Linked DNA regions of Oryzias latipes. The protein of the gene in region 1 purifies or fractionates together with the protein of each later gene. This does not show direct contact. Links are inferred from orthologs where the notes say so. Each region holds a gene or a part of one and is shown in the gene's direction. Other genes may lie near its edges. The genes, in order: ndufaf5 and ndufaf8.

Region 1 (2,958 bases):
GAATGTGGTGTGAACGAGTGTGGTGTGCACGAGTGTGGTGTGCACGAGTGTGGTGTGCACGAGTGTGGTGTGCACGAGTGTGGTGTGCACGAGTGTGGTGTGCACGAGTCTGGTGTGCACAAGTGTGATGTGCACGATTGTGATGTGCATGAGTGTGGTGTGCACGAGGGTGGTGTGCACGAGGGTGGTGTGCACGAGGGTGGTGTGCACGAGTGTGGTGTGCACGAATGTGGTGTGCACGAATGTGGTGTGCACGAGTGTGGTGTGCACGAATGTGGTGTAAACGAGTGTGGTGTGCACGAGTGTGGTGTGCACGAGTGTGATGTGCACGATTGTGGTGTGCACGAGTGTGGTGTGCACGAGTGTGATGTGCACGAGGGTGGTGTGCACGAGTGTGGTGTGCACGAGGACGGGGCTGGGGGGGGCCCGGAGCCTGCAGGAGGCTGTCGGGCTCCGTGATCGTCTTCAACCGGGAGATGAAGAAGCGGCAGAAGGACTGGGCCGCGAGTGTGATGTGCACGAGGGTGGTGTGCACGAGTGTGATGTGCACGATTGTGGTGTGCACGAGTGTGGTGTGCACGAATGTGGTGTAAACGAGTGTGGTTTGCACGAGTGTGGTGTGCACGAGTGTGATGTGCACGATTGTGGTGTGCACGAGGGTGGTGTGCACGAGTGTGGTGTGCACGAGTAAGTGTCAGACAGACAAACGGACAGAAACGCAAACAAGAGACAACCGATGTAAAATGATCCAGCAATAGTTTTGTGAATCAACGCTGCGTTTGCTGAAGTCTTTCAGAAACATGAACAGATTTTTCCTCCACTGTCTTTGAAGTCCAGAAATCCAGATTATCACCTGGATTCTAATAATCTTGATGAGTTGGGTTTCTGTTGTTCTCCTTCATCAATGAACTGAAAGAGTTCAGGCCTCAACTGAAGCTTGGCATTGCCGTGGTTTCCACTGATCCTCTAGGGATGGGAGAGAGTAACTGCGCCTGGAACAGGAGGACGCTGCTGCACAGGGACACCATGCTGGCAGCTGCTGCCGTTTACAAAGGTGAGGTGGTTTCACAACAGCAGCACACTTTGCACTACACAACAACAACACACAACGAGCAGACACCAAGCTGTTCCCGGGGGAACCCCGTCACCTCCGCCGTTCAGCCGTTCGTCTGGGAGAACACGTGGAACGTCTTCCTTCAGCTGATGCAGAGATTCCAGCAGGAACCGTTTTTTTCCGGTTGTTGGGACTCCGGCGCCCTGAAGAGTCCCTCAATAGAAACCTTGTCAGGGTTCTGCAGAACACGACCCAAACTCAGCAGGACGGACGTCCTGAGGGAGGCGAAGCAGCTGGAGGAGGTGTGGCCTCACGCTTCCTGCTGACTCAGCTGCTGCTCCACCTGTTTCCTGGCTGCTCTGACATCACTTCCTGTTTGACCAGCTGTTTCTGATGTGACTCTGCCGTCTTTCAGAGATGTATGGGAGCGAGGACGGCGCCGTGCCCGCCACCTTCGAGATCCTCTACATGATTGGCTGGAAGCCTCACGAGTCTCAGGTGAGCGTCAGAGGTGAGGTAAAAACCCCGCCCACATACGAGCACGGCTCTGGCCTCAGAAAATGTTTGATCCCCTCTGGGCTTCATGGAGCGGCGGGACAGAACCTCATTTCATAGACTCACCTGTAGACCCTCAGGTAGACGTTCTGGCTCTTCAGAAGCCCAATGAGGGTCACGGAGGGCGAGGCGATCTCCTCCGGGGTTAAAAGTCTCAAAACAAGAACCAACCATGAAACTTTACTGTTCTGAGACGGAACACCGAAGCTCCCTGTGGAAAGGATGGCGCTTAGCCAGGAGACAGGAAGTGGGCGGGGCCTCTTCAAACCCCCGTTTGGACCCACAGCAGGGACAGAACCACAGAGGTTTTTGGGTTTTGGATGAGAAGATGACGTCACTGTAGAGACGTTTGAACTGAAGCTGCTGTTTTTCAGGCCAAACCGGCGAAGCGAGGCTCCGCCACCGTCTCCTTTGGAGACCTGTCGCGGATCGGCCAGCCGGGCCCTGACCACCAATCGTAGAACCACAGACCGGACCGAGCCGCTGCACTTCATGGACGGCTTGGTGTGGCGGTCCGGCACAGGCTGGTCTGGACCGGGTCGTGACCTTCAGCAGGACCTGCACAGAGATCAGCATCTTCTGTGGTTCGCTTCAGTCAATAAACTTCCTTGTCAGATCGGATGTGGTCGTTTTTGTCCGTCTTTGTTTTGAATTCAGTTCAATTTTATTTGTAGCCCAAAATCACAACAACAGTCGTCTCGATGGGCTTCTTAGTCAAACATGAACTCAAAAGGATCATGAATACAAAGAGTTCAATAGGAAAATACTAAAATGAACTAACAAACTGACTAAGCTATACTGGCATCCCTGCCCTTAGACCCCCCTTTCTGTGAGGAAAAACTCCTAAAAAAACGGATTCCGGAAAAAACGAAGAAACCTCAGGGGTGCCCACATGAAGGAGGGATCCTCCCCCAGGACGGACAGGCGATTTACCAGAACTCTTAGAGAAGAATTAACTTATCTAACTCTACAACTACATATATAAAAGTCCAGCAGACGAGCTTCATCCAGCCGTGGTTGGGGGGACAGTCAGGGGCGCGAGTCGAGCCGGAGACAGGAACCACATCCAGGTGTAGGAGCAGGAGCAGAGACGAGGTAAACGGTCAGGAACTGGAGCACGGATGAAACAACTGGAGTCTGGAAGAACTCGAAAGAAGGAAAGAGGGACAGTCCATGAATCACTGCAGCAAACAGAGGCATGGAGAACTAAATGATACATTTTTTTGCTGCGTTTGTTTTTCCGTGGCGAGCGAGCCGACCCCCTGCATGCATCATTTCCACGCGCTCTTCAGTCACGCCTTCCTCTTTCCGTCCAAACCTCACTTCTGCCTGCAGCGCCTGCAGACATG
Region 2 (3,665 bases), on another chromosome or scaffold:
ACAGGAGCTGGTTTAGCTCGTGCTGGTTTGCGGCGCCTTCCATCCGTGAAACCAGGGTTCGACTCCGGGCTGCTCCCTGTTCCCTTCTCTACCTCTGTGCCGGTCCCAAGCCCGGTTTGAGAAGGTTGCGTCAGGAAGGGCATCCGGCGTAAAACATTGCCAAATTTACCATGCGACTAGTTCGCTGTGGCGACCCCTGATGGGAGAAGCCGAAAGTGGAAGAAGAAGATAAAAAGTCAAAACACAGGTAAACCTAAATTCTACTCACCCATTCCTGGAGGGGCAATAGTGTGTGAAGACATGCTGCTTTTGGTATTAAATGAATCTGTGAAAAGTAATTGAGCCACTTCCTGTAAATGTAAACAATTAACACCTAGTAAGTAAATTCCAACTCAGTTTATAAACCAGGTAAAAAGAATACACCCAGTCTCGTACCTGTGCCGTACTCCTTACTTTCTGGTAAAGTGCTGAGCCATGGATGGGATCAGGAGGACCACTGTAAACTTATAAATGGACATTTTTCAACTTTAAAACCCCATTATCACGTGATACCTATGATATATTCCAGTGGTACAATCTCTTATACCTGATGCTTGCTGGATGAAGGTGGAGTTTCTTCTGAGTTCTGTAAGGAAATGATCTGAACCATGACCACAAAGGTGGACAAAAATCTTTAGCACCTTCAATAACCAGGAGGAGAACAGAGGTTACACTCAGTTAGATGAATGCAGAAATGAGTCTATGCCCAGATGTTGTTCTCACCTTAAGTTTGACGTGGCAGGACTCGACTTGCAGTCTCTCCAGGAGGTATTCAAGCAAACACTGACCACAACCCAAGGACTCATGGGATATTTCTAAAGTGTAATGGCAGTTAAGGGCATACTTTAGTAGTCAGTGTGTGTATTAAATGGAACAAGTTTTGCTTATCCGAAAAACAATGAAAACATTTTTTCCCCTTGATTAGGCCACCAACAAAGGATACTTCCAATCTCCTGAAAAAGGTAACCAGGACAGGGGTTTTCATCATCTGCTGTTGCCTTCATTAAGGTGGGAACCTGCAATAATTATGAGAAACTATCAACTTTTATTTATTAAAATAATGCTTCCAGCTTTAAAATCGTAGAAAATAATCTACTACTTTAATGGGTATTTAGAGACCCTAGCCTAAAATAAACACCATGCTAAAGAGTAGCAAGCAAGCTAGTAGTTAGCTAGCTAGGTAACTGCTACAAACAGGGGCGTCAAGCTACGTCGAGTCCGCCACGCGCTCCCAAAAAATCAACAGTTTTGTCTAGAAGCAAATTTTTTCCGAACTTTACTTACTTTTTGAATAAAAGCTAATCGTTCCAAAAATGTAGCCATGATTTAGCAGGTGTAGCCGCGGGTTCCTCATCTTTCTGAAGCTACTATAAGGAGGGCGTGGCTAAGGTGACAGGCAGCCAATCACCCTCATTACTTTGAGTCCTCCTCTACGTTCATTGGCGGATATTGGCACGCCTTAAACTGGATGACAACGAATCAGATACTGCGAGGGGAGTCACCCACTTTAGATTGACAGCAATATAAGCCAATCATAATATCTAAAAATGTAGAAAGGGAAGGTTTTAAATGACAGGGTCATCAAAATGGCGCTACCCGTAGTTTACACGAATTTTAAGCCTTTTTTATGACATTTTTTCCTCGTAAACATGCTCTAAGATTCCTAATCTAATACTCAAATAAAAGCCTATATGTGTTTTAAGGTTTAAAGACATAGATGCATATAGCAGCATGTCGGGCTCAAATGTTTGGACCAGAAGCCGGGAGAAAATGAGAAATTTCAGCGACATCTTTTCAAAGTGTGCCGACGAGGTGAGCCTTCTCAAATTAGTATTTTTCATCTTAATCTTATTTTGGTTAAAATATTCAGTACATAAATATGCAATAATAAACAAACTGTTTTGGGTGACTAAATATCGCATCAGTAGAAGAGTGGCATTATTTTGTCTGTTTTCTTGGATTCTAGCTTTGTTTTGCACAATTTGAGACTAAAGATTTGCGAGATAACTGCTGATCATTCTGGCCTGTTGACTATAAAAACCTCTACTTTGCATTTTCCAGCTGTTTTACCACAGCTGGGGTTACAAATGTGAACATTTATGTGTGAAATTGTCATTTCATGCACTCCTCTTTTAGAATATTTATTGAGCCCCTAATTCATTGGGAATTATTTGATACTGAAAAATACTTTAGTATCTGTTTAAGTTCAGGTGTAAATAGGAACTCAAATTATGATGCAACCACCACCATGTTTCATAGATGGAAAGCAGTTCATCTAACTACAAAATTAAAATTCTGACACTCATTAGAGGTATGCTATTATTTTTTTATATTTCTATACAAAATTCTCGATGTTAAAACATATTTTTACGTTTAAAAATATAATTATAAAGGTTCAACTCCATTTGCATTAAAGTATAAATCTTGGAGACATGTAAAAGTTTGTTTGCACAAATAAGTTAGATTTTCAGTATTTAACAAAAAAATATTTACAGGAAAACTAATTCAAGAAAACTTTGTACCGTCCATATTTGTGTAATTTTATTCTTTTTGGTGAGATTTGTTTTTCTTAATACAAAGCTGTTGTGTTGCAGGCTGCAGCGTATGGAAAGTGTGTCGCAGCAACAACGGCAGGCAGACAAGAGCTGAAGAAGGACCTGTGTGCCAAAGAGTTTGAGGCTCTAAAGACCTGCTTTGTGAAGGCTGTAAGCATCAGGAAGAAATCTTCCTGCTGGTTTGGACGGATGCTTGTGATGGATAATCATTTATCCGGTTCTGTTTTTCAGGCCAAACGTCACGGCAGATGACAACAAATAAATAAGAGGAGAAACCAGCCTGAAAACCCGCATGTGGAATCATTTATTCTTATTCTAATCCCTGATTCCTGTCAATATTTTACCTGATGCAGTTCTGTGGAGCTGGAAAGTAACTGTATATGCTGTAAACATTAACCAGTGGTTGATATTTTATTAGGTCTTATGTACAGAAATAAATTGCACATAGAAAAATACTTTTGGACAAAGTCAAGATCTGGAATGTTGAACCTCTAACAAATAAAGAAAATTTCTAAAAAGTTGTTTTGGAACATCAAAATATTTCAGAGTTTTTTTTTAATATATAAATAAAAGGGTTTGAAGCTGCAGCATCCGGACCAAGAAGGCACTAAGACATCAACTAGGAATAAATACTAAGAAAATGATTGAGAAATTCAGATTCAGTCCAAATGAGCAGTTTTTCTTAAACCTTAAGGCTACAACATGTGTATTTTAGCTCCAGCATGAAACTGAGTATTTAAAAAAAAATCCACATTTACAACTTCAGCAAATAAGAAACACACAAAAACCTCAACCAAACACTAAATATAACATTTGCTCAATAAAAATACACCTTTAATAGGATTTGCATAGATGTATTTACATTTTAATGTTGACCCCTTCTCCATTGTAACTTAAAATAAGTTAATATTTACATCGTTTCTCTTTGGATTGTCTTCAGAATACACAGCATCTAAGCGTTCTCGGTCTCCAGCCATTCTGCTGGAAAGAGCATAAGGCAACGACGTTGGGGGGTTTGTCTCATTTGGTCCCATCATCCTCTGGGGCTTGTTTAATCTGCCGTGAGTGCAC

What was found.
Region 2: the proteins of ndufaf5 (region 1) and ndufaf8 purify together in Homo sapiens (affinity purification with mass spectrometry; 3 studies listed by BioGRID and IntAct, counting the BioPlex papers as one, with this or other methods). This does not show direct contact. The link is inferred for Oryzias latipes from reciprocal best matches to the Homo sapiens genes NDUFAF5 and NDUFAF8.

What each region holds. Positions count from the first base shown.
Region 1 is NC_019859.2:650,317-653,274, forward strand, and holds the end of ndufaf5 (arginine-hydroxylase NDUFAF5, mitochondrial), read left to right. Parts: intron 1-970; coding exon 971-1,054; intron 1,055-1,469; coding exon 1,470-1,552; intron 1,553-1,983; coding exon 1,984-2,070; 3' UTR 2,071-2,230; downstream 2,231-2,958. Other genes in the region: uncharacterized protein LOC105358217, read left to right, coding at 2,956-2,958. UniProt on the Homo sapiens protein: Arginine hydroxylase that mediates hydroxylation of 'Arg-111' of NDUFS7 and is involved in the assembly of mitochondrial NADH:ubiquinone oxidoreductase complex (complex I, MT-ND1) at early stages. May also have methyltransferase activity.
Region 2 is NC_019877.2:3,983,060-3,986,724, reverse strand, and holds ndufaf8 (NADH dehydrogenase [ubiquinone] 1 alpha subcomplex assembly factor 8), read left to right. Parts: upstream 1-1,595; 5' UTR 1,596-1,770; coding exon 1,771-1,851; intron 1,852-2,633; coding exon 2,634-2,744; intron 2,745-2,825; coding exon 2,826-2,846; 3' UTR 2,847-3,132; downstream 3,133-3,665. Other genes in the region: AP-4 complex accessory subunit tepsin, read right to left, coding at 269-350, 436-503, 587-680, 763-854, 983-1,055, 1,324-1,362; slc38a10 (putative sodium-coupled neutral amino acid transporter 10), read right to left, coding at 3,615-3,665. UniProt on the Homo sapiens protein: Involved in the assembly of mitochondrial NADH:ubiquinone oxidoreductase complex (complex I, MT-ND1). Required to stabilize NDUFAF5.